Linked DNA regions of Rattus norvegicus. The protein of the gene in region 4 purifies or fractionates together with the protein of the main gene of each other region. This does not show direct contact. Links are inferred from orthologs where the notes say so. Each region holds a gene or a part of one and is shown on either strand. Other genes may lie near its edges. The genes, in order: Smarce1, Bcl7a, Bcl7c and Arid2.

The links.
Region 1: the proteins of Arid2 (region 4) and Smarce1 purify together in Homo sapiens (affinity purification with mass spectrometry; 7 studies listed by BioGRID and IntAct, counting the BioPlex papers as one, with this or other methods). This does not show direct contact. The link is inferred for Rattus norvegicus from reciprocal best matches to the Homo sapiens genes ARID2 and SMARCE1.
Region 2: the proteins of Arid2 (region 4) and Bcl7a purify together in Homo sapiens (affinity purification with mass spectrometry; 3 studies listed by BioGRID and IntAct, counting the BioPlex papers as one, with this or other methods). This does not show direct contact. The link is inferred for Rattus norvegicus from reciprocal best matches to the Homo sapiens genes ARID2 and BCL7A.
Region 3: the proteins of Arid2 (region 4) and Bcl7c purify together in Homo sapiens (affinity purification with mass spectrometry; 3 studies listed by BioGRID and IntAct, counting the BioPlex papers as one, with this or other methods). This does not show direct contact. The link is inferred for Rattus norvegicus from reciprocal best matches to the Homo sapiens genes ARID2 and BCL7C.

The regions. Positions count from the first base shown.
Region 1 is NC_086028.1:84,673,374-84,677,673, reverse strand, and holds the start of Smarce1 (SWI/SNF-related matrix-associated actin-dependent regulator of chromatin subfamily E member 1), read left to right. Parts: upstream 1-1,500; 5' UTR 1,501-1,545; intron 1,546-3,376; 5' UTR 3,377-3,421; coding exon 3,422-3,428; intron 3,429-3,604; coding exon 3,605-3,648; intron 3,649-4,300. UniProt on the Homo sapiens protein: Involved in transcriptional activation and repression of select genes by chromatin remodeling (alteration of DNA-nucleosome topology).
Region 2 is NC_086030.1:38,899,951-38,907,890, forward strand, and holds the start of Bcl7a (B-cell CLL/lymphoma 7 protein family member A), read right to left. Parts: upstream 4,821-7,940; 5' UTR 4,683-4,820; coding exon 4,591-4,682; intron 1-4,590.
Region 3 is NC_086019.1:191,749,668-191,757,767, forward strand, and holds Bcl7c (B-cell CLL/lymphoma 7 protein family member C), read right to left. Parts: upstream 4,975-8,100; 5' UTR 4,715-4,974; coding exon 4,623-4,714; intron 4,146-4,622; coding exon 4,067-4,145; intron 3,718-4,066; coding exon 3,609-3,717; intron 3,517-3,608; coding exon of another isoform or gene 3,514-3,516; coding exon 3,352-3,513; intron 2,050-3,351; coding exon 1,964-2,049; intron 1,343-1,963; coding exon 1,217-1,342; 3' UTR 1,145-1,216; downstream 1-1,144. UniProt on the Homo sapiens protein: May play an anti-apoptotic role.
Region 4 is NC_086025.1:129,439,428-129,446,216, reverse strand, and holds the end of Arid2 (AT-rich interactive domain-containing protein 2), read right to left. Parts: intron 4,049-6,789; coding exon 3,907-4,048; 3' UTR 2,404-3,906; downstream 1-2,403. UniProt on the Homo sapiens protein: Involved in transcriptional activation and repression of select genes by chromatin remodeling (alteration of DNA-nucleosome topology). Required for the stability of the SWI/SNF chromatin remodeling complex SWI/SNF-B (PBAF).

The DNA.
Region 1 (4,300 bases), on a different chromosome or scaffold from region 4:
CTTTCCTACCATTCCTTAATCCCACAGTTGCTAAAGCAGGGACGTAACAAGGCTGGAGTTACTGGGCAGACAGAGGAAGAAGACACTGGATCCCTGACGTAACTGTGTGGATCCTACATTCATCTTCTCTATGCTTTTTGTGTTTTAAAAAAAAAAAAAAAAACATTTTCAGATACATTTCCTTATGCTATTCACTCATCTGGAAAACTCTCCTTTAGCCTTTCCTTTCAATACACTTTTATTTCATTAATTTCATCTCACCAGAATGAAAATATTGGACAATGGAAGAACTGAACAATATTATCATTTATTCCTGGCTCTGCAGACTTCTAAAGATACCTCACGAGGATAAGGGCCAAGAGGTAGTCCCAGAATTCAACCAGTTTCTCTAGATGCTAACACTGTCCTTAGATAACCACAGACGGTCTGCTCATTTTTTCCTCCACCATGACGTGACCCACACTAGCCAACTTCTTATGGTCCGCCAAATACTTGTAATTTGTAAAAAAAAAAAAAAAAAAAAAAAAAAAAAAAGCCCTGGAATAGTCCAGAAAGGTGGCTACACACACACTTACTGAGCACCTAATTACAAGTCTAGCCCTTCGAAATCATTGGTAATTATGAAATTGTCCAGTCCAGATGCCTGAAATTTGGTTTTCAAGACTCTCCAAGATTGCAGATGGCCCAATCCCATCAAGAGGGTTTCAACAGGCCCTGGAAAAGTTCTAGGAGGGCATCACAAAGAAACATTGAGCTGACTATTTAAAGACAAGCGAGGGTGAGCTGAATTAGCCCTCCTGGTAAGAGATGTGAATTGTCACAGGTATGCAAGCTGGAAAGAGTGAGCTGACATATGAGGACCCTAGGCTCTGAAACCTGTCGCCATCATTCAACCTCTAGAAGCATCTGGAAAAACTACAAAACTCCCGTGTTGCTTTTCGCTTAGGTGGAGGCAGGGAGCCCTGCCGAGCGCCAGCAAGGACCAAAACGCGGGGATCCGGGTCCTCCCCGCCTACATTCTCCATCCTCCATCCACACGTCCATCAGCGGAGTACAGAGGATCAGAGCGAAGGGGAACGCCAGGGTTTGGGGTGTGCGGGAGCTGCGACCCGCCCTCTCCCGGGAGAGGCTCCAGCGAGCCTTCCCCCAGCGCTTGCCTCACGCAGCGGAACCCACCGCCTCAGTGAAGCCGGGGTACGCAGTCTGCGCAGTTCCTGCCGCCGGGCCGCGAACCAGGGCCCGCAACGCGGCCCAACCTTCTCCGCCCTCCTCGCCGTGACGAATCGGCGCCCGGCTGGGACAGGATCCAAATTGAAAGACTTCTGAGGGATCCGAGGAGCCTGAAAAAAAAAATCTTTGGCGCACTAAACCTTGCCGCGTCTTCACTGGAAGGGCTGTTCGTCGGAGGAGGGCCGGCCGCAGCCCGCAGAAAATTCCCCGGAGCGTGTGGAAAGTGCGAGCGCGGAAGCTCCGGCGCGAGGGGCGGGGCGAGCGCGGGACAAAGGGAAGCGAAGCCGGAGCTGCGGGCGCCTTCTCGGCCCGCGGGTGAGTGTTTCCCAGTGGGCCCGACCCGGTCGGGGAGGGTGGTGAGCTGTGGTGTTTCGGCTTGGCGGGACCCCGAGTTCCCGCGGGGTGCTGGGGTTCGGCCTCGGCTGCGAGGCGGGAGCTAGAGCCGGTGCGGCCTCTGAGAGGCCTAGCGGCGGTGGGGGAGCCCCATCCGGGACAGCTTCTCGGAGGCGCCACTAGTCCCTTTATGCTGGACTCCGGACGCTGGCCGAGCACCCATGCACAACCCTCTGCGGGGGAGTTTCCAGAAAAGCTCACCCTCCGCCCGCCACAAACTCAAAGGAAAGGATCTCGGGAAGCCCAATGGGCAAGGCTAGCGGGGGTCCTCACCCAGGAAGGTGGTTCCCATTTTGGTGGGTGGGGGGTGGGGCTCAAGTAGCGGCCTAAAGACACCCGGGGTGGCTTGGATGAAGTCTGAGACGGTGTGGGTTGGGTTTAAACCCACCTCTGGCATTTCTGGGCCTATGGCCTTAGACACTTAATCGCCCCGGGACTGTTTTTTTCCTTTGTAAAATGGGGACAGGCCATACGTATCTGGTAGGGTCGTTGTGACTAGTGAACAAGACTGTTAAAAGCCTGACCCGTAAGGTAATTAATTCAACAAATACTGAGTTGCATGCCAGGCACTATGGTTAGATCCACTCTCTACTAGAGTTTGTAGCCCAGGAGAGCAATCATTTGTAAGTATTAGCAGTGAAGTGTAAGGTGCCAGGGACCCTGTCACAGTTTCTGTCGGGGCTCCCCACAGCAAGGCCTACTGGGTGTTGATGGAAGTAAAAGAGATGGGTTGAAAAAAAATTAGCAATTAACACATCAAAAACTCTTAACCCTGATGGTTTGAGGCACTTCCTTTAAATGAAAACTAGAAGAAAGAAAAAAATGTATTCACCATCTTTCTAAAAATAAATTTTCATCTCTTTATGCATTACCATTTGTGGTCTGTGTTGAGAAAGGAGCAAGCTCAGATAATGTCCGTGTTTTGAGCTGGTAATACTAGGACCCAATTTATGAAGAATCGAGCTACGTTTGAGTAATAGGTTAGACCATCCCTCCTCTCTTGCAAGACAGAACCCAGCCACATTCACATGTTGTGTGAGGGAAAATGCCACTGATCTTTAGTAAGCCCTGTAGGAACGCAGAGACAAGGCAATTAGTTCTGTCCAGATAATTCACCAGAGAGGACCTGAGGTAATTTCTGAAATGGACAGTAAAGGAACAACAGGTGTCCTGTCAGTAACCTGAGAAAATTGTTCCAGCTCTTAGGGAACTATTTACCAACAAAAGAGAATGTAAAGTTTGTTAGCATGAGTTATCTTTCTTTCACACTGCCTCCAGGAATAAGACGTTGCTCTGTTTCGATAAAAGAGGCCCCCTCGATAGGGCAGAGCTTCTGATCAGGGGTTATTGGTCAGTATCTGGTAGGCCTTGTTGGGGTCACCCTGATAATACATCACATTCTATTGTCATTATTTTTTTTTTATCAGTCTTAAGTAATCGTTCGCATGGCATCAGCAAAATGTTTTCCATACAAGACGTGGCTCTCAATGTCATAAGCAAAAACCTAAAAAAAATCCATCTCTGATAGAACTCTAAATTTCCCAGTAATTCATTTTCATCACTTAATTCTGATCAATCAAATGAATATAAGGACTAGTTAAAATATGCAAAAAGGCTTGATTACTAGCAATTAACAGTGAAGTAATTTTGCTCAGAAATACCAAACTACCCTATTCTTTAGGAAAACATTCTCTTATGCTTGCTGAGTTTTGATTCTCTTTTTTTTTCTTTTTTTTCTTTTTTTTTATTTTAGTGTCTCAGATTCATTCTTAAGGAACTGAGAACTTAATCTTCCAAAATGTCAAGTAAGTTTCAATTTTTATATTTATCAATCTGTATTAATACGAGACTAATGCCCTAGCAAATGGGAATTCCAAAATACTCTCATTTTTTTTTCTTCAAAGCAGGACCATTGGTAGTTTTGTTGCATAGTATTATATCTCAGTTGTTTACAAGAAGTTATTTATTTTCTTTCAAACAGAAAGACCATCTTATGCCCCACCTCCCACCCCAGCTCCTGCAACAGTAAGTTTTAATTTTCTTGTTAATGTAATAGCCAAGTCTGGCCTTGATACAAAAACCCAGATGTCTTCCACTGACAGTCACTCAGTCTTCACAGCCACAGCATAGAAAATTCAGCTAAAAATCAGCACTTCCTACTAAATAAAATAACTCCTTTCATCCTTACCTTGAACCAAACCCAACATTTAAAATTACATGCTATGAACTCCCCACCTCCTGTGCTCTCTTTTCTCCTAGCAGGAAATCAGTGAGACACTCCTTTCTAGCCTTTCCCCTGGTAAAGGGCCTCGCAGCTGACAGTGAGTCAGTGCTCATCCTGCTGTTGGTTATTCCTTTATTTGTTGTTTTTAAACCTAACCTTCAACCGGTTACATTTTTCTCTCACTGTAAGTAAGGGCTGGGGTAGCTCAGTGACAGCACTCACCTAGCATTCGCAAGGCCCTAGGTTGGAACCCCAGCAGCACAAATTTTTTAATTAAACTTTCTTATCTGTGTATAAAATTTTCACATTAAATAAAGTGTCTTGTTCTAAGGATAACTACACTCATAAATCTTATTTTCAAGCTGCTCAAGTAAGGGTTTCATTACCCATGGGTCAGATCTCGTTTCTAAATTTTGTTCAGGTTGGTTTGCCAACTGCTCTGCTTAAAGGTGT
Region 2 (7,940 bases), on a different chromosome or scaffold from region 4:
CAGAGGCAAAAGTTATGAACTTGACCTTGAGAGCTGGGAGTGGTGGGACATCATTCTAGTACCTTGAGATCCTGAGATTCCTGTACCCCCAGGGACTTAGGCAGGATTGCTAATTCTAAATCCCAGGTGGCTCTAAACTACACAATGAGATTAATAATGATGATGGTGGTGAAGGTGATGATGACAGTGGTGATGATGATGGTGGTGGTGGTGGTGGTGATGATGATGATGTCTGGTGGGATGGCTCAGTAGGTGGTGGGTAAAAACATCGGATAACCTGAGTTAGACCCTCAGAACTGATATGATAGAAGGAGAGGACCTACCCCCACAGGCTGGGCTCAGACTTCCACACGTGCGTCCTAGCACACGTGAGTATGATCCCACCCCACACACAAAATAAGTCAAAAAAGAAAAAAGTAATAGAACTTTCAAAAACTGAAGTACGACCTGACCTTGGGATTGACCTCTGACCTGGGATTTGTCTCTTCCAAGGGCCCTGGCTCAGGGCAGCAGCTCACATCTCCTACGTGTGCTGCCGCCCATCGTGGGGGAACACACACACACAGCTGGCTGCCCCTATGCTGAGGGAACGAGACAGTTCCCATCATCTAACAGCAAGAGTGGCAAGCCAGTGGCCGGCAGGCAGGCACGTCTGGTTTACCCTCATGGTTTACCCTTTAAAAGGTTGACTGGGTTACCAAAGGAGAAGAGAGAGAAAAACCATAAAAATCCAGTTTTGGGGTACTCTGGAAACATGATCTGCAGTCCATATTCCCCCTGGGAGCCACAGCTTGCTCCCAATGGCTAACACTGGCTCCCCCAACCACAGCCCCCGCACCTCTCACCACCTGGAGGCGTTCACTTTGACCACCAAGTTGCACCTCGACCTAGCCACAAAAAAAAAAAAAAAAAAAAAAAAGGCTTGTTCCCATGGCAACAGGCTTGGCTTCTGTACCTCCTGCCTTGTGTTCCTGAGATAAAAGGATGAAATGAAGTCCCAGATGTAAGACTACAGCTCCAAAGTTCTTCTCCAGCTCGGACTCCTCTATAAACTACAGAGTCCATCTCGGATTCTCAAGGCCAAGGTAAACTCCCAGTGCTCTACTGGGTCTAGGTGCGGTGAGTCTCAGGGGGCCTTGTTGGCTCCAGAGAGCTCTAAATCCCTTTGTAAATTCACTACACGGTTAGTCTTTGTCATCCCGGGAGACCTGACCTCATCCTAATCAGGTCTGAGTCCCCCTCAGATGGCACTTCTTAGGGATGGGTGAAAAGCCCCAAACTAGTCAGTCTGTCCTTATGTGAGTTGCTAAAGGACTTCTTGGACTGAGAGCTGAAAGGTCCTGGACCAATGCCTACCACGAAGCTCTGATCTCCCTTTGTCTTTCTCACTCACACTGGGCCTCCCAGCCTGACCCAATAGGGACCTACCATGTTGTTCTTCAGTCATCTTCTGGCTACCTCACACCCCACCAACCCGCCCTGCCAGGACACCAGACAGAAAGAAGAGGAGTAGCCGCCAGCTATGGGTGGGGAGGCCATAGTTCACACTGGCTCCTTCTGCAGGGCAGAGGAAGGGTAGGGCTAGCCAATCAGAGTATTAAAAAAAAAATACCATCCTAGGCTTTCAGACTGAATGATATGCCAGACACCTCGCCTCTCCTCTAAATAAAATACAGGGGGTTGGGGATTTAGCTCAGTGGTAGAGCACTTGCCTAGCAAGCGCAAGGCCCTGGGTTCGGTCCCCAGCTCCGAAAAAAAGAAATAAATAAGTAAAATAAAATACAGAATTCCTCACTGATTTTGAGTTTTTCAGATAAATGGATAACTGTTTGGTATGTGTCTCAAATATTTCATGGGCTATACTTACATAAAGGGTTGTATATGTGTGTATGTGTGTGTGTGTGTGTGTGTGTGTGTGTGTGTACAGCCAGAGCTTTGTACATATTAAGCTCAAATTCTACCATTAAAGCAATATTCTCAGTAGACATTTTCATTTTTGCCTTTTTTTTTGAGACAAGCTTGAATGTAGACCAGGCTAGCCCAGAACTCAGTATGTAGCTGAGGCTATCCTTGAACTCCTGATTCTCCTGCCTCTACAAGTGCTAAGGTTATAGGCATACATCACTATACGGGGGAGGGGGGACTTTTTTTTTTTTAAATCACTTTGTTATTTTTCTGAAATTCAAATTTACCTGGGTGTTCTGTATTTTCCTTTGCTAATTATGGCAGCCCCATGCCTTAGCCAGTGGTGAAATGCATGGTTGGTGCCCACAGTTAATAAACAACCCCAAAGCCTTCAGGGTTGATTGCAACACTGTTGTACAGACAGGCCAAGACCAGATCCCGTGACTCAAGGAAGCCCCCTGCATTTCTGTGTAAGATGGGGACGGGAAGCAGATCCAAATTTCTACAAAAGTCCACCTTACATAAGGGCGTTTACAAGGGCCCCTGTGTACTCCAGTGACTCCACCTGACTAGCCAGTCCTAGGCAGTTCTGGAAGGGGAAGGGGCACCGAGTCCCCTAGTTGACAGCAGCAAGGAACTTGAGTTTCATGCTTTGCCCAAGGTCACAGCTAGGAAGAGAAGTAGAAACTCGAGCAGGAGATCCCAAAAAGCCTGAAGTCTTTAGAGGTCATGATGCACTACGGGGAAGAAGGCGGCCACATCCCCCGCTGCACTCCCAGGCTCCGCAGGCTGTGAACCCGCTGGGATGGAAGAAGTCTCCAGGCCTGCTGCTCTGGGGCCCGCAGGGTGGAAAGCCCCATCCCTCCATCTGCCCGCCCTGCAGAGCAGCTGGCAGACCCAGCGGCAGCTGTCACAGCTCCAGGACCAGAAAGGCAGCTTACACCGGCCAGCCTGCCGCTTTCTACCGTCCAGGCCGGTGACAGACAGAAGGGACGCTTGCTCTGATATCAGTTCTCTACCACCCCAGCCTTCCCTTGAGAGTCCCACAGGAGAGGGTCCGTTACTGTGCTGTTTTCCTGTGTTTTGGCCTGCAGCTGTTTCTGCCATTTTTAAATGGCTCCAGTTGGGCACTAGTCGCCCTGCTCAGCAGGGGAGCTCCCGGCACCCAGGACTTGGATCTCAACTTTGGAAAGCCTCCCCTTCTCACGGTTGTGAAAATTCTTTGTCCCATTGGAGCCAAACCCAGCCCACGGCGGGCATCCGGCCATCCGCAGACAGCCCTTTCCATAGGAGGCCCGGGAGCACGTGGACTTTATTGATTTTTTTCCTTGCCTTTTTTGTTGGGTTTCACTCTGAAAGGACAGCTAACTTGTGACACCATCAAGCCGGAGACAGGCACCCCCAGAAGTGTTTAAAAAAAAAAAGACAACAACAACAGAGGCGTGACTCAAGAAATGAAACCCCCCCAAAATAACAGCCTGCAGTGGGGCCTGGCCAGTTCCTATAAAGGACAGGTCCAGCCAGCAGCCGCTGACACTTGGGGACACCCTCGCAGCTGCTCCTCTCCCGCTCGGACCCAGATGAAGCCGTGGGAAAAAAAAAAAAACGTAATAAAGTTAAAATCAGGGAGCAGGGAGTTTTCAACAAGTCTGACCCAACCTGGTGGTGGACTACTGGAGCCTCAGGCCTGGTCTCTGGGGCCGCCTCGGAGTCAGATCCCGACGAGGGCCGTGAAAATGTTCCATCCTACTAATTATAACGAGGCCACGCCGGGCACGATCTAATTTGAGCTCGAAAAACACGCACGGCCCACACCGAATCTCCCGGTCCCCTCCTCCTCCCCCAGTGCAGAGAACAAAAACAACGGTCGCTCGCTCTCTCCGCAAAACAAACACCAGCTCCAGCTAGAAGAAGGCAAGACACGGCCCAGGACTTGGCTTCTGGCTGCAAACATCGCGTTCCCCAAGCTCCGGGTGCCGCGCGGAGCGCGTGGGAGCCGTGGGTGCTCCGCGCCCGGGCCGCGCCACCGCCTTCCTAGCGCTCGCCCCCATCTTCCTTCCTCGCCCGGAGCCCTCGCTCCAGGCTGCCCAAAGCGCTAAATTTAAACGGCTCGCGCTCTGCAAACTCCGCAGACTCGAGGGCGCCGAGGCCTGGGAGGCGGGGAGCTGCGGGCGGGTCGGGGCGTAGGGTGAGAGTGTGTGTGCGTATGTGTGTGTGTGTTGGGGGGACACCGGCGCCGCGCCGCCCCGGGAGGAGACGGCGGCCCGCTCCGCGCTGCACAATGGAGCTCGCGCTCTGCCCGCCGCCGCCGGCATCACGGCCCCGGCGCGCGGGAAGCCGCTTTCATGTGACTTGCACAAAAAAACGAAATGGCTTCTGGGGCCGGCTGCGAACCCCCCTCTCCCGAGAGCCGAGCTCGGAGCTCCGGGCTCCGGGCTGCAGCCGCCACCGCCACCGCCACTGCCTCCGCCGCCGCGCCAGGTGGGCGACCGGCGCCAAGCACACCTGGGCAGCGGACGCAGCCCCCGCGGGGCGCAGGTGACCCCGGCCGCGCGCCCTCGCCAACTCCGGGCCCGGGGCCGCTGCGCCCCGCCGCTCTGCGCGCTGGGTCCCGGCTTGCTGGCGGCCGCGATGCGGTGCAGCGAGCCGGGGAGAGCTAGAGAGCGAGCAGGCGCCTCGGCTTACCATTTGCGCACTTTCTCGATAGCCGCCATGACCCTCTTGATATCATCTTTGGCCCGGCTCCTGGTCTCGGCTCGAACCGACCTGCCCGACATGGTTCTAGCGGGGAGGGAGAGAGAGGAGAGAGAGGCTGGGGGAGCGCGCCCGCCGGGTCCTGCTCGCCACACTCGCCCGCTCTCTCACTCGCGCACAGACACACACTCACACACATACGCGCACACACAAAGCCTGGTGCCGCCGCGCGCCCGGGGCCCAGTGCGCAAGCGCCGGGCGGCAGCTGCACAGAGCGAGGGGGAGCGGCGCGGCCGCCAGCAGTGCGGCCTCCGGGCGCCGCCGCCCACCCCGGGGAGCCTCGGGGACCTCGCCCTGGGAAGCTATCTTGGGTGACCCCGACCTCCCAGCACGCGGGACGGCCCCGCGACCGGACTCACCCAGAGGCCGCAGGTGCGATTGGGGGCCTCTCCGTCCAAGACACACACCCTGGGGATGGCAGACTGCAGGCCGTGGGTGCTCTGGCTCGGGTTGGTGGCCGCGGGCGCGATCGTGCAAGTTTCTTGTCGGGCGCTTGAGTTCTCGGAGTTGGAGGCTGCGGTTTGGGACGCGAGGTGATCTTAGAAAGAGTTGAGGCGCCGGTCTCTGGCCAGCTGCCTTGTTAAAATGTGCGAGCTAGAAAGTCGCTTCCCCATGCTTAAACTACAGTCCTAGGAAAGGTGCTGGAGCCCGGTGGCAATTGACATTGTCGCAGGACTTTCTTTCCCGTAGAGATAAGTTGTCCCAGTCACGGATCAACCTCCTTGGGGTTTTCTGAAAATGACAATTTAATCTGAAACGGCTCCTAGTAGAAGTGCAGTGTATTGGCCCGGAGCAGCAAGTAAACCGGACTGGTCCAACACAGAAGGACTTTCTTTTGAGGAACTGTCTTCCTACCCTAGGACCGAGCTGCGTGGCAGAATGTACCGCGGTCAACCAGGATAGGGACAGGTGGGTGTGCAGTTGCGGCTAGACAGACTGGACCAGAGCGAATGCTCGTCCAGGTGGATGCTGGGACAAGAGATGACCTAAAATGAGCATTGATGCCAACATCAGCCCTTTCATAAATGGGGAAACTGAGTCAAGGGGTGATTCAAGGTTGCAGCCGTGAACTTCATCTGCGACTGCTGTGATTCTAGTACCCAGCACCCCCCCTGAAGTTTGGGGTGCTGCAGGGGTTTGGTAGAGGGAACTAGTGGGGAGATGGGGGTGAGAATCTGTGGGATCTTCCCCAGGCTTATCTTTTAACCACTTTAAACACAGGATCCTAATGCGGAAAAAATTAAAATATGGAGGTTGGGGATTTAGCTCAGTGGTAGAGCGCTTGCCTAGCAAGCGCAAGGCCCTGGGTTCAGTCCCCAGCTCCGAAAAAAAGAAAAAAGAAAAAAATTAAAATATGAACGGTCAGGCCTGGTAGCCCAGTCCTTTAACTCCAGCACTCCTGAGGCAGAAGCAGGCAGATCTCTGTGAGTTCAAGGCCAGCCTGGTTTATGGACGTAGTTCTAGGACTAACTAACCAGGACTACATAGTGAGACGCTGTCTCAAATCCAAAATCGAAAAACAAAAAAAAAACAGTCGAGCCAGGCAGTGGTGGTGCACGCCTTTAATACCAATACTTGGGAGGCAGAAGCAAGCAGATGTCGATGTGTTCAAGGTCAGCCTGGTCTACATAGCAGTGAGTCCCAGGACAGCCAGGGCTACAAAGACAAACTCTACCAAAACAAAACAAATAAATAACAACAACATACACACACACACCACAAATATGTCAAAGAACCATTTTTATCATGGTTGAAAACTGTGCTGTAAATCAGAAGTCTCATACTTTTGGCCCTCTGTATCTGACCATCAGATATGTGCTTGTACCCCAGGGAATGAATTTTTGTTTAGTGCAGAAATTGTGCCTGCTAGGCAAGTGCTATACCACAGTTTCGACACAGAATATATGTTATATATATATATATATATATATATATATATATATATATGTGTGTGTGTGTGTGTGTGTGTGTATATATGTATATATATGTATATATATATAAAAAATTTTAAAATAAGATATATTGAAAATTCACATATGTGGTCTGCAAGATGGTTTAGTACATGTGTTTGCTGCCAAGCCTGAAGACCAGAGTTCAACTCTCAGACCCCACACTGTGGAAAAAAGAACTCATGAAAGTTGTTCTCCTATCGCCACATGTTTACATACCATACGCACACACACATGCACGCACGCGCGCACGCACTAGATGAAATGTAAAAATATTAAAAACCCAAATACCAATTGACGAATGGATGTCTTTTCAAACAGTGGGATTATTCATCCGTGATAATAATACAAGGAATACCAATATCGTTAAACATGCATGAAGGCATGATAGGTAGAAAGATAAAGGCATGCAAGGACAAAGATTGTATGACCCCACTTACAGGAGTTATCTAGAGTAGACAGGAGCTGGGACGGGGAGAGGGAATGGTGGCCAATGGTTTTTCGTTTGTTTGGTTGGTTGGTTTTTTTTTGTAATGAAGAAAGTTTTCTTGACCTATATGTTAGAAGTGAATGTCCCATGTCACTGAACTGTACTTGTAAATGGTTACAATGAGCCAGGCACATGACTCAGTGGTTAGACACTTGCTACGAAAGCACAGAGACTATCGCTCAGATCCCCAGAACTCATGGAAAGTTTTGGTTGGTAGATGTGGCCACTGGCCTGTAATTCCAAAGTCTTGAAAGGCCGAGACAGGCGATTCCTCAGAACAGGCTGGCTACTGGGACTAGCCATACTTACAAGCTCTGGTTTGATTGAGCCAGTCTGCCTCAAAATAAGCCAGACAGAGGACAATTCCAGACATGGACTGACCTCTGTACATGCACCTCCATGTACATGTGCACCACACCATGCGTGCAAATGTGTGTGCACACATGGAGACCGTACACATGCATACCCATGAAAATGGGAAAGGGAGGAAAATGTTCATAATGGCTGATGTGAGGTTACGTGAATTTGGCTATTATAAAAAGAAATCCAAATTGGTTAGAAGCAGCTGGAGTTCTGCAAAGCGGCCCTCGCCTTTCAAGCTGCTCAGGTGACCGGGTTTGCTCCATGAAACCACCTGACTTCAGTTTGCTGTCTATCCCCTGAAGGTGTTTATATTTTTGATTCCCGATTAAACCGTAAAGCTCTCTACAAATGTTCTTTATAAGTCTAGTGTGTCATTTTTAGGTCCCCTCCCAGCAGATATTTTTGAGCTTCTTTCTTTCAACAAAACTGGGCTGTTTCATAGTTTGTGTCTGATGACTAATGCTCTTTGCTGGATCTTG
Region 3 (8,100 bases), on a different chromosome or scaffold from region 4:
GGTAGCTTCTAGAAGCTGGAAAAGCCAAGAAAATGGATTTTCCCTGACGACCTACTGCAGGAGCTGGCCCTGCAGACACCTACCCTAGCCCAGTGACACTGATTTTGGACTTCCGACCTTCAGAATGTAACACTACAAATCCGGGTAGCACTAAGCCAGTCACTTTCGGTCACCTGTTTCTACAGCAAAAGGAATGCATGCAGTCACACTTCCTAGTCAACCCTGGCTCCATTATTACTTCAAGAGGTGCTTGGATGGTTCAAGTGATGCCTCCCTAAACTGCAGTCTCTGTTTCTGTTAATGATTAAAACAGGCTAACTCACCTGACCCTGCTTCTCTGACAAGTACACACTGAGGAGTGCTTATGTGGATGAAGTTTCTCACCAGACACTGACTGGGCTGAAGGCGGTCAGGGACAGGTAGGGGTGGAGTGGGGAGTGAGGCCTCATTATCACCCCATTGGTCAAGTGAACCACCTGAGAGTCAGAGAGTAGAAATGACTAGCCTAGAACCACACATACAGTCACAGAGGAACTCAACAATCCTCCTGCCTCAGCCTCCTGGGTGCTGGGATTACAGCCCTGTTTATTTACTCAGTCACTCACGAAGCATTTGCTAGGCTATGTCCCCAGTGTTAAGCTAGGAATATCTAGGGATCTAGTCCTACCCTTGAGAGGCCAGCAGCCTGAAAGACAGAAACACAGACTCATGCTCCCCAAACAGCCTGACAAATGTTGAGACAAAGGGAAGGAAGCTGAAAGGGCTATAGAAACTCAAAGGTAATGATCCTGATGGAGCCTAGAATCAGGGAAAGGCATCTAGGAGGAGAGACATGATGCTGTGGCTTCCTGAGGGCAGGGAGGGGCTGGGTGCTTCCTCTGGGCCAGTGTTCCTGTGAGTGAAATGGGGAGTGAAGTGTGAGTGAAGAGCTGCTGGGCCCTGGGGAGGGTAAAGGTCGTTGAAGTGCAAGGCGAGGGTGCAAGGGAGGAGAGGTCCTGGCTCAAGCCCTCACCCCATGTGTAATCATGACATGAATACAGGTCATCTCAGAGCCTCGGTGACCCCATCTGAGGAATAGAGCATGAGCCAAAACTGTCTCCAAAGACCCTCCCCAGCCTTGACAGGGAAATGACATGACACAAAATTACAAAAGGGTCTTTATTTATAAAAAGCCAAAGGGGCCCCTGGAGCAACAGGACAGGAGGCAGGCAGCTTCTCAGGGGTCAGGGGCATTTGGACAGATGCGCTTGAGTGGGGGGGCGCCCTCCGAGTCCTCTGTGTCACCCTGGGCTGCCTCAGGGACAGGTGGCACTGGCTCAAAGACAGGGTAAGCTTCAGGGGCCTGAAGAGGAAGGGCGGACAGGTGTGAGCTCCACTCTAACCCAAGAGCACAGCCTCCTAGCCTGACTTTTCCACTCCACTCCCCTGGGAACCCAGAGTTTGGCCCAGGACCAAGTAACCAGAATGTAGGGTAAGGCACCAAAAACAATTACACTCCTGTCTGGGGCGGGGGGGGGGGGGGGAAGGACCTGATTTTTTCTGAAAAGCAAATCAAGGTAGTCCTTGTAGGGGAAGGTAAGGCAATGTCTTAGGCTAAGTTTACAGCTCAGGATGTGTGTCTGTGCGATGCGGGGGACCCAGGCTCTTGCGCATGCTTAGGAAGTAAGTACCACCAAGCCGAATTCTGAGCCTAGGTTTTTTTTTTTTTTTTTTTTTTTTTTTTTTTAAGTCCTTAGGGGAGCACCAAGATCATTTCAGGCTTCTAGTGCTCTTCTATCAGCCATGATCAGCCCTCAGGGTGGTGTCTGCAATCCTCTCCTTCACCCAAGAATCCAACCTCCAGCTAAGCCTTCTGTGGGCTCTAGGTCCACGTCTCCCTCCTGGAGCCTAGAATGAAGTCTCCCTGCTTCCCCAAAGCCTCCAGTCCCCACAAGGCCAGAGTCCGGACTCTGGCCTCTCTCACCTCGGCTTCTAGCAATTCTGGAACAGGCTCCTCCTTGGTCAGCTTTGGGGGTTCATCAGTACCTCCTGCAGGTGTGCCCCCTGGATCTGTAACACCAAACAAAGAGACACTTCCTGAGCAGCTACTCTGTGCTGAGAGAGTGGACCAGGGGCAAAGGAAACAGACAGGCACTGGTCACACATGATGACATTGTGGGGGCAGAGGGGTACCAAGTTGCTGAGGAAGGAAGACTCAAGTTGGATCTTGTCAGTAGGGAATGAGCCAGGAGGCAAACGGAGGTAGAGTAGAATTTAGGCAGATAGAAATATGTGCTTAGTGACCACAGACTCTCAGTCATCCGCAGAATGGAAATAGTGACAGTAACACCATGAGAGGCTGCTGTGTGGATCAAGTACACGGCACATAGTATGTGCTCAAGAAGTGCCAGCTAGCAGTTTCATTCATTCATTCATTTCTGTGGTACTAGAGATGGGGCTTAGGACCTTAGGCATGACAGACAAGCACCTGCACTGGGCTGCATGCCCTGCCCCATCATTTCATATTAGCGAAAGTATTTGGGACAACCTAGGTGTGGTCCCAAGCCCCATGTCATGGTGTTCTTGACAGGGGAACAATTTCAGTAGCAACAGTTTATAAAGGCCTCTGGTTCAAACGAAGGAATCAAAGGCCACGGGAGCCAACGAAGGACACAAAGCAGGAAAATGGCCGATTGGAATCTGCTCTAAGAAAGCTGTAGCATGTGGAGGCGAGAGCCAGTGCAAGTGAGAAGTGAGAAGGGAGCGCCAAAGGCACGGGAGTCAGCCATGCCTGGGAAGGGGGGGTGGACTACAGGAAGGCCGAGGAGCTGGCGCACTGGCTCTGCAAGTCTGGGCATCTTTCTCTGGATGTTGGGCTCCTCGTGTATAAATAGGAATCATCATAGGATCATTGGTTCCATAAAATGTCAGTGAGGGTTAAATGAGAAAACAAACCACAAAACATTGAAGTGCTCAGAAGAATGACTAACAGATAAGTGGTTCTGTCAGCTGTTAATCTACGGTTACTAATCCCTAGGGTTATCAGAATTATTTAGTTGCCGAACATCTATTATGCGTCCCACATGAACCAGATCAGTGTGTCTGACATGAGATGGTAACAGAGAGGCAATAAGCAAGCAAAAAGTACATTTACATAAAGTTTTCAGATGGCGACACGCTCCCTACAAATCCAAGATGCCAAGGAATGAGCCAGGCACAGCCAGAGGTAATTTCTGCCAGGGTCAGGAAAGGTTCCCTGAGGGAGGCAGGACGGGGGAGGGGGGGGGGGACACAACACAATATAGAAACACATACAAGGCGGTAGGTTCAACTCTGGTGAGGAGAGGACTCCCAAGAGCCACATGGTCCTACCTCTCTCTTGGCCCAGTTGTGGGGGCTGAGTATCTTCTGTAATCACCTCTGGAGGTCCAGTTGGTGATCCAGGGCGACTGGGCTGGGGCGTCCCCCCAGGGCTGGGCTCCGTGCCCTTTTGCAGTGAACCTTCGGAATGGAAACTCTGATTGCTGTTCTCATCTGCTGAAGCAAAAGTCAAGTTAGTTGGCCAGAGGACCCCAGTGGCTTCTTTCAGCACCCAGCCCCCCCACCCCTATTCCAGAATCTCTACATACCATTGAGATCCAGCAGGATGAGGGGGCCACCCCCTCTGGGACTGGTGCCCCTACCACGCCTCTCCCGGCCACGAGATCTCTCTGCCCCTCCTCCTGCCCGCCGCCTCTCCTGAGGGTTAGAGAAGTAAGATCAGAGCTAGTTTGTCCAGGGAGCTCTTACAAAGTCCTTCAATTCAAATAAGGAAACCTAGGCTCAGAGAAGCAAAAGGTGCTGCCTCAGGTTGTGTAGGCCGAGTTAGGTCTTGAACTTGGAGAAAGTGTGTGTGTGTGTGTGTGTGTGTTTGTGTGTGCGCGCGCGCGCGCGCGCGCGCTTCCGTGCTCATGCCCCCTAATAATCGTTACCATCTGCCTGGGCTCCACAGTGGAGTCTCCAAGCCGACTGAAGGTGGAGGCCAAGGGGAGGGAAATTGCTTGAGGTTGCACAGATGCAAGGCATGTTGGGGGTTGGGCTTGCTCACCTCCTCCTGGGGATCCACCACAGGCACCCACTTGAAGATTCGAAGGGAAGTGTCACCCACAGTCACCCAGCGCTTCTCCCTGTGGGAGGTCAGGAGACTGGGTCAGGGAGGCCCAAGGGTGAGCCCCACAGACTGGAGGTCAGGGAGGTGTGCTAGGGTACGGACAGCTTCGTTTACACGGCATAGAAGCAGAAAGAGCCCTCTAAACCCCAGGGCAAAGCATAAACGGATATAACTTGGAGCTGCGGTTTTGCAGACACCTGGGGCACTCAGCAGGGCGCCACCAAGGCCTGCCCAGGCACTCAGGCAATGAAGACCCCGGGCCAAGCTTGCGAGAGTGTCAAAAGCTTCAGGGGGCGGGGCATAGATGAGGGCTCCCGCTCAGGGAAAGCACCACTCCGGACCACGCTTTGTAGACCTCTGGGAATTGCCAAGGAAAGGGGGCGCCCTGTCGATTTAGATCACAGCTGGTGGGCGGGGGCAGCGGGCCAGGAAAGGGCGGACGCGTTTGGAGGAGGTGGCTTGGCTGTATCCCTGACCCGGGGGCAGCGCTCACCATCTCCGGACCTTCTCGATGGTCGCCATCACCTTTTTGATGTCATCTTTGGCCCGGCTCCGGGTCTCGGCCCGCACGGTCCGGCCGGCCATGCTGGCGGGGCTAGGGCCGGGACAGAGCCCGTGGTGGGGCGGCCTGCGGTCCGGCGATCTCAGGCTGCGCGCCAGGCCCCGGCGCCGCTCTTTCGGCCTGCCGTCCCTCCGGGAGTTGGCCGCGCCCTCCCTCGCTCCCCAACGCCTCCGCGCGTCCCCGCCTGGCTTCCTGAGACCGCGCCCCGCCCCGGCCCGTCCCCGGAGCGGCCCGGGCGGCGCGGGCGGCTAGAGCCCCGGCCTGGAAGCCCGGCCAGCTCCGCCCCGGCCCGGGCCCGCCCCTCGGGGCGCACGGACGCACAGCGCCCTCTGCCCGCCGCGGAGAGGGAGAGCTGGGGGGCAGCGGTGCGGCTGGACGCGCGCGGCCCGAACGAGGCGGTGCGTTCCGGCCACGTGGGCACAGGGGTGCGCGAGAGGGACTGTCCTGGTGTGCGTCCGCGGCGGGTGGGCGTCCCTGAAATGCTCTGTGTGCGCGCGTCTGCCCTCTCCAGGCTGTTTGATTCTAAGCTGCCCAACTTAACTTGTTCATTCATTCATTCATTCATTCATTCATTCATTCATTCATTCATACATTCATTCATTCATTCATTCATTCATTGAACAGTTCCATTAACAGCGCCTAGTACAAGCCAGACTCTGCGAGTGGAGAGCCGGCCTCCTCAATCAGAATGGCGGGAGTGAAAAAGACCATGTAGATGAAGTAGCAGAGGAGCAACTTGCCATTCCTTGAATCAGGGTGTGTAATTGGTAGAGATAGTTTGGAAAACTGGCAGTCTTCCATTGAAAAACTTATGCCAACCCCGTCTTCCAACAGTTTCCACTCCCAAACTAGCAACACTCAACAGAAGGAATATGTGCTGCCTCTTTTTTGTCAACTCGTCACAAGCTAGGGTTATCTGGAATGAGGGAACCTTGATGGAGAAAACGCCTCCATCATGTTGCCCTGCAGGTAAGTCTATGGGGCATTTTCTTTTTTTTTTTTTTTTTTTTCTTTTTTTTCTTTTTTTCGGAGCTGGGGACTGAACCCAGGGCCTTGCGCTCGCTAGGCAAGCGCTCTACCACTGAGCTAAATCCCCAACCCCGGGCATTTTCTTGATAATAGTTGTTGTGGGAGAGCCAGACCACTGTAGGCAGTGCCACCTCCGGGCACTTTAAGAAAGCAGACTGAACAAGCCTTGGGGAGCAAGTGAGTAAGCAAAGTTCGTCCAAGGTTTTGCTTCAGTTCTGGCCTCCTTCAGTTCCTGCTTTAAGTTCCTGCCCTGACTTCATAACAGACTATAACTGCAAGCTGAAATAGATGCGGTGTTTATCACAGCAATAGAAACCTCACTAGGACGAAATGTGTCTGTATGAACACCAAGATATGTATACTGGGAAGTTCGGTACTCTTCATAATAGCACCAACCTGGGAGCCACTCAACAGAATGGAATGGAAAACCAGTTACAACCTGTTTATACCATGAGCACAGACAAAACAACCAGAAAAACCAAAGTCCTGCTATGTGCAATGGTGGGGATGGGTCTGCAACAAAAGAAGCCAGATGTGACAACATGCATTAGATAATTCTACATCTAAGTTCAGAACACAAGTACATTCATGGTGTTTTCCGGGAGCTTGTCACACTTGTCTTTAGTCTGTCAAGATGGACATTTATTACTTGTAATTTTTCTTGTGTGTATTATAGTTCAGCTAAAGGTTTACTTAAAGAAAATGAATGCTGTCAAGATATCTCGGTGAACAAGGGACTTGCCACAAAGCCTGATGACCTAAACTCAATAGATGACCCCACATCATAGAAGAGGGAACCTACTCCTGACAGCTCTCTGACCTCCACACACCTGACATACCATACATAGCCAAAATAAATGTCGAGTTTTCTTTAAAAAAAAAAAAAAAGACCAGGTTGGTGGCTCACACCTTAATCTCAACACCGAGGAGGCAGAGGCAGGTGGATCACTATAAGCTTGAGGTCAGCCTGGTCTAATAACAAGATACATAGTAAGCAAGAAAATAGGAGCTGGAGATGTGGCCCCATGGTTTAGAGCTCTTACTGCTTTCTCAGAGAACAGTAGTTCTGTTCCCAGCACCCACGTTGCACAGCCTTCAGGGGATTCCATGTCCTCTTGTCTCCTCCAGCACCCACACTCAGGTGCACACAGGCCTCCAACACACACATAAGTAAAGGGGAAGATGACGAGACTGTTTCAGCTGATTTTTATTTGAAGCTGGCCCATCACTAGATAGAACGTGTCTGCTGTGCTGTGTGTGAGGGGTATCTGTAAGGCTTTGGTGTGACCGTGCACACCATGACTAACAGCATTTCCAAACTGTAAGAAGTAAAACCTCGGGCTGGAGAGATGGCTCAGTGGTTAAGAGCACTGGCTACTCTTCCAGAGGTCCTGAGTTCAACCACATGGTGGCTCACAACCATCTGATGCCCTCTTCTGGTGTGTCTGAGGAGAATGACAGTGTACTTATATAAAATAAATAAATAAATATTAAAAAAATAACATTAAAAAAAGAAGTAAAATCTCTCAGCTAGTCACACTTACCTGCATGGCTGTGGGCAAGTCCTTTGTCTTACTGCCTCCTCTGACATGGAAATAAGTTACTGTGTATAAAACATTTAGAATACTGCTTGGCACCCAGGAATACCCAATAAATACTGCTGGTTTGTGTGTGTGTGTGTGTGTGTGTGTGTGTGTGTGTCCACTGCAGACAGCGTGGCTTCACGTTCACCTGTGCTACACTCTGCCGGTGAACTTTGTCCCGACGGTCTGCTTGTGGTGACATTCCCACACAGGCTTTTTCAGTTCCCTTTCTCACAAGCTCCACTGAAGTGGGAACTTCTGGTTTGCTTGGGAAGTCATTTATATCAAATGATAGTTTTCTGGGGCACACAGGCTGAAAGGATGTCTTGCTAACACAGACACATGAAAGAATGTTTTGATATAGCAAACATATAGAAGGACCTGTGTTGAAGGAGTATAACTATGACCTCACAGACAGTGGGAGATTAGCACTGAGCATTGGTTTGCTTTGTTCTGCCTCAATATTTTTTGCTAACGACACACATGTATTGGTTCGCCTTACCTAGTATTGTTGAGCTCAACTTGTGATAACTCCAACATTGAGAGAAGCTCGCCCAAGAACTGCTCCTGAGGTTCCTGAGGCAGCTTGCTGCTTCTGAAACCTTTGACCTGTTGGTGAGCTTTGCAGTTTCTTCAGGACTAAGCTACAGCTGCTGGCTCCTGCCTGGGGTCTGCCTGCCTGGAAGACTGGACAGCTGCTGAGTCATATTTGGTGTTTGCTACGACTGAACTGCTGCCAAAGAAGATTGGAAACATTGCTGAACAGGTCCACTTCCCCCATATCCTCATAACTTTTC
Region 4 (6,789 bases):
AGAATGCCATTACAAACTTCCCAAAGGAACTTAAAAAAAATTTTTTAACTAAATGGGTCTGTTCAGGAGGGCAAGGACTGTCTTGCTATTAGCAATCAAAACCCAGACTCAATTGTGACCCTGATTTGTAAGTTACCATAAACTGCTCCATGACAGTAAGTCACTAGACAGTGACCGCAAGACAGCGCACGGGGTCATTTATAATCGACGGATGAGCCTAAACTACTGTTCATGTGCATTAATGTTGCCACGTGAGCAGTACCAGTGAGCCACACTTGAACTCAAAAAGCAGCATTTAGAGACGAGGATCTGAGCTGGCAAGCAGCTGCTTCAGGGTCATTGCATCTGAGGCAGGGGTGGGATATAGAGTCTTGGGGATTGTCAGCCTGTGAGCAGTGCTTGGATGAAGGTTTGCTGTAAGGCAGTAATGCTGTACTGTATGGTTTCTGCTGTGTCCTAGTTCATTTAACATCCTGGTCGTAGCTGCAGACCACGACTAATGTCTGTGTACAGCCATGTTAGTGCTTCCATCTCGTTGGCCGCTTCTTCCTGCTTGTGTTAGCATCTGCAATTCGAGCTACCCCACCCTCTGTTTAGTACTTGAGTTATTATCAAAGGAAATGTATCCACCTACATACATGGATACTGTCCCTTTGCATTTTTTTTTCAAACCAGTGCAGTAAATGGAAATCTTTGCTAGGTAAAGTTTACGGCTATGATGGTGATTTGGTCTCATCTGTTTGTGGCCTTGGAAGGAGGCTAGTTAATTCCAAGTATTTGAGTGCCTGAGTCCAGTCAAGAGTTGTGCACTGCAGTATGAGAGCAGTTAACTAGCACCAACTGGCTATAAATGGTGCCTTCTCTTACTGTGTCAGATAACGAAGGAGGGACCACTGTGAGGTGTCCTGCGTGGCTGATCTCAAAGCCAAAGTCTTGTTTCTGAGCAGCTGTTCCTTTGGGGAAGAGCTTCACACTTTGTCTTCAGGACTTCAGTTATGGTACAAGATCAGGACAGAAGCCACTTACCCAAAACACTCATTTCAAAAATCACTTTTATTGTCATTTATGGTTTAAAAAACATACATGGCATGGCTATAAAGTAATGAGACAAGTTTTCATGTGTGGCTTGGTTTATTGAGTCTCATTAATATATAGTCATATCCTGTCAAGTCGGAAGAAAAATATGCCTTCACTATATGATCATCAGTTTTGTTACTTAAAATTTATTAAGTGCCAACAGAGCACTAGGCACATATATAACACAGAATTGTACAGTCTATGTTGTTGACTATTATTTACATAGATTTCTCAAAGATAACATCAAAGCTTGTATTTACACAACTTTAGACAAAAATAACAATACTGGAAGTCAGCAAGTTTCTGTCTAGCACGGAGCACCTTTTCATGACTGAGGGTTCTGCAGGACCTGGACTCAAGGGCACTTCAGCTGCGTCACCCACCAAGTCCGTGTTAGTCCGCTAGTCAGGTAAAGCTGTCGGAGGGAAAGCCTAAGAGGGAAGCTAGAAATTGGTTTCCTCAGGTCAAGTACATTGAGAAAATTCTGCTGAGACCATTGCTTAAAAGCACTAAAGACACATTTATACATTTTAACACAAAACCTACAACTACAGGATGCAATTCAGTGAGGTGACAAGATGGTGACTGTGGAAATCACTTTAAGCCTGTTGTTTCTGCTACTAAAAGTTAACCACCGTGGTAATTTCCTGCTTTGAAAGGTAAAAGGTACCTTGAAGAGAAGCAAACAGTGATGTTACAAAAATTATTTCAGAAAGCCTCAAATTTTTTAGATAAACACAGTGAATATAAATGTCTGCCACCATCTGCCCTTAGGAACCTTTAGTCTGGAAATATTTGCGGGATATAATAAGGTATCTGGACCCAGGCTGTCTGCTGGGCAGCCCCAGTCTAAGGTGAAGAAGTCAATGCCAACAACCTGAGAATACCGAGTTTTGGGTGTTTCCACACATCGTTTTACAGATAGAGCCGAGTACACAGGCAGAGGCCCCTTGGGGAGAAATTACTTCAGGTAATAATTAGTGAATCAAGATGCTGAAAATGTATGTCCAGACTGAAGCTCATTAAAAAATCTGCCTCTGAATTCAACCTACAGTCAAATGGTAAAGAAAAGCTTCAGTCAGATGCTGACACAAGGGTAAGGCAGCTGAGCTCTGAACTGTCTCTCACTGGGCTTACTGCTCCTAAATATCGTAAACAAAAAGTTTGGTTTTCCTGCCATGACCATGGTGTATGTCATCTGATGCACCTTTCTGCTCTCTACAATATTATCACAAAGTATAAAGGAGGTGACCGTTTGACTTTGCCTTCAGCTAGACTTTAAATTTTACAATGTCTTAAGCATACTCAGAAATAAAGGACTCAAGAAAATGTTCAGTCTTTTATTTAAAAACTATAAACAGTCACCAAAGTAAATAAAGCCATTCTATAACATAAACTGTCAGGTCTATATTTTTTACTGCACATCCTAAGGACACAGCAGAAATGGTTGTTGGGAGGCCTTCCACATTTTTGGATGCTAATAGAACAGGCAATAGGCAGTTATAAGTGGATACATTTCACGCTTAGGGGGAAAAAAGACAATTTAAGGAAGTGAGCAGTTTTTGAGCAGGAATGTGGTACAGTATTAAGAATGGAAGAATAATACAATAAAATTCCACACTATATTAAGATAGAAAAAGTAGTGAAGAAAATATCATACCTGCACATAATGCATATATAACACAGGAGAAAACCTGTATAAAATTCCATGTATTTAAACCAATTTACAAATACAAAAAATTCTGCACAAGCTCTGAGCTTGCACATGACAAATGCTTACAGTGGATACATGGGAGGGAAAACCAAACAAAAAAAAATTCAAATAGTTTTTCTTCTACAAAAATGACATGAGATATATTATTCCATACTCTTTCAGCCAGCAAAATGAGTTCTACAAGGTGTATAATACAAAACAAAACAAACAAAAAAACCCAAAAAAACCCCACCCAAGGGAGTGGGATCCAAGGAAACCAAAAAAAGGAGGGGGAAAAAAAAATCACAGTTCCACAAAACTGTTGACTTTACAGCATCAGTACCTCTGCAGAAGTATTTACACAAATGTAAGAGTGTCCACCACTGCCTAGAATACATCACAATTACAGGTGACAGCAAAGTCTAGAAAACTTTAGAGCCTACCGATAATGCTTCCAGGACACCACAGAATGATTTCCAGTGGCTGCAGTGGTATGAACGGTGTTCATTCTATTCACAAATATTTACAAGATCTATTCAGACTGGTAAATTTTTATGATAATAAATAAGTGAAAATATATTGGCTCAAGTAAGAAAACCAAGCTACTGATTCTAAACAAAACACACAATCCACAGCTAGATACTGGTGGCCCCTCCGAAGCTGGGGGATAGGTGTGCTCAAACTTTGTCGTCGTTATTCAAACCAGCTTAAATGGTTCTGTAAATATAAAAATGTGCTCCTTTTTGGATATAGATAAAAATATTTAATGCTTCTATTTCATCTGCTCACGTAGGTTTTACACTATTCCATGTATATTCCAATGTGGATGGTACAGAATTCTGATCACACCAGTTTCCATCAGGATTGGCCAGACCCGAGACATCCTGCAGATAGGCTGGTTGTCAATCCCACAGCAGTTTGTTTGTTTTTTTTTTTTTTCCTTTTTAGATTTTTTTTTAACAGAAAAGAAAGGGATTCGTTCAGAGATCAGAATACGAAGCTTCCTCTCAGCATCATGGGAGGACACAAAATAATTCATTCTATGGTCTCTGCTCCATTAAGACTTGGTGCTTTCTTCAGTAACAGTGAAATGTGTTTGACTTTGAGCCCCCACTGTGTCAGTGGGGTAGGATTCACTACAGCATTTCTGAGTCTTGTTCTTGTTCTTTACTCTGAACTGTAAAATTAAGTTCATAAAGGCATTTGGCAAGGGTAGAGGAAGCCTCCATGTTACTAATGGCTAGCACTGATAAGTTGTTTTCATGTCTTTTTAACAATCTAAAAAACAAAAGGAAACAAATTGTCAGTCTCCAGGATCATAGTTACATAAGATTCCTTATCACAGATTATACAGCTAAAATAAAAATATCAACAGCTCTGTAGAAAGAGGCGGCTCAAGCTAACCATCAACTAATAGGATTCACTGTGAGGAAATTAAGGTGTCTGCCGGACCCCACACTCAGAAGACACCTCAGCTGCTCAGGGTTGGCATCCACGGAATGTTACACAGAGTATTTCTGTATCTTCATTCAGCATTTTATGAATTTCACAAATCAGAAAGTTGTTGGCAAGTAACAAACACGTTCATGAACTCAAATGTGACAAAGGCGACAGTCTTGATGGCTGTGACCATAGAGACGGTGGGAGTGAGTGTCATCAGTAAAGATGGCCGTGGGCTAAGGAGGACAAGGATGGGGAGAGTACCGAGGGACAGGAGGCTAAGGTAACTGAGGTAAAGCCTACTCAGCTGTCAAACGGAAGCTATGCAATGATACAGAATGTTCGTTCACTTTACAGTTCGTTCAAGTTGGGCTTAGTGTGATAACTTTCATGTTTAACATCTGGAAGATAAGTCACATAGCAGTGAGAATACCCAAGAACTTAACTACTTTCAATAAAGTCCTGGGAAAAGAAACCAGAGAATGGGCTGCTGACATCATTTGGCGGTTAAGAGCCTGATCGTGCCAAGGACCCCTGTTTGGTTCTGATTAACCAGTCTGACCTGTTAGGCAGTGCACATATGTGGCCCATATATGTAAATGTAGGTGAAACTAAGATGATAAAAAATACCTTAGAAAAAACAAAAACAGGAAAAAAAGAGGTGAAAACATCACTAAAATTGTGATAAAAACCCTGTAGAGAAGTTAATCAAGGGGGAAAACAAGTTCTAACTTAACACTCAATGAGGAAGGCTGGGGATAGCTTGGTGGTGGAGCACTTGCACAGAATGGACAAGGCCCTAGGTTCACCTTCCGTGACTAGGAACAAAATGTGGATACCAAAGGAACAAGCCAGTAACCATAATTCTGTACTCCAGAAATATGAGCACAGCATTGCTACATGTAACCTGAGAAATCAATCTCACAATTCCTGTGGTGAAAACCCCACTGTCTGATATGACTTCTATCAAGTTAAAGTCACTTAGAATAACCGGAGTAGGACAGTGGAAGGCTGGGGGAGAGGAGGAGGCTGCCAGATGAGGGCAGAGCAGGGTTCTGTGGTACTGGTGGGACTTTATTGTTCTTGTATGGGGGGTACTACATTCCCAAAACTCACTGAAAATTTTGCTTTGTAGACCCTTTAAACATGACTTCTCAAAATTTTATCTAACAAACTTTGAAATCAACGGAGAATACATGATTTTCTATAAAAACAAGACCAAACTTAGCTCAGTTGAGAAGCACGTGCCTTTAATCCCAGCACTTGGGAGGCAGAGGCAGATGGATCTCTTAAGTTCAAGGCCAGCCTGATCTATGTAGAGTTCTAAGCTAGCCAGGGTTATATACAGAGACCTGTCTCAAAGCCAAACACTTGGGGGTGGGGATGCAAGAGGTTATACTTAGGGACCCGAACATGTTTTACCTCTGGACACAGCTATATCCAGAGTCTTTTCTTTCTTTTATATTTATACTTTAAGGCTAGAGATTTGTATAATAAACATAACTTTTGTTTATTTTCTGGAATTTTCAATTTCACATGCTGGTCTGAGTTGTTTTACTAGAAACATTTTAAGATACAAATTACCCTTGGGGAAAACCAAACAATTTGAAAAGCTTATATCCTATCAAAAGCACCAAAATTTGAAAAGAAATTTATTTTCTTGAGAAACAAAACATAATAGGTTTTTTTTTCCTTTTTTTTTCTTTTTTTTCCGGAGCTGGGGACCGAACCCAGGGTCTTGTGCTTGCTAGGCAAGCGCTCTACCACTGAGCTAAATCCACAACCCCCATAATAGGTTTTAGAAATGGGCAGTATAGGCGAGGGGAATTAATATAGGTAGAATTAATCAGTGGGAAGAAAACAGGCTTAAGAGACACAAGGACCTTCCTTCCGTCTCATTTCCACAATGCAAGCCCTCATGTTAACTGTCCTTAAAACTGCCTACCTACAAAAGGTGAGAAAATCGGAGGTTCTTCCAAGGAGAAACAAAAACAAACCCTCTGTATAGAACTGACTGCTTATAAACAAGCCAGCTCACTGGAGAGCACCTCAGACAGCAGCCATTAGAAGCAATGAGCCAGAACTCTGCACCCTGGCATTCTTTCTTTACTGCACTTTGAGACAGGGCTTTGAATGAGACCCACACTGACCTCCAATCCATGTCTGGCCCCTATAACAGAATATTATACACAGAAACAGAAGAGCTAAAAGAACTTGTGTATCTCCAGCCACCTGAAGATGTAAAAACAGAAATAGGAGATGGCCCACAAGTAGACAGTCAACAATCAAATTCAAAACAATGCACTCAGCTGTGAAAACACAGTACAATTCCCTGGGCACGGGTGTGGGCCATGCTTTTTAGGGCAAATTCCAAACAGCACAGGAAACTAGCAGCTCGCTAACTGATAACTGACTGACAACTTTCTGAGCAGCAATGGAAACAACCATCCAGGTTAGGATGAGAGATGCTTGTGTAGGCCGTGTAGCTGACAGAGGGTTAATATTTAGGGCATCCTGGCCACCAAAATCTCAATAAGTAAAATTCAAATAACCAATTTAAGAATGGATTACGGACCTAA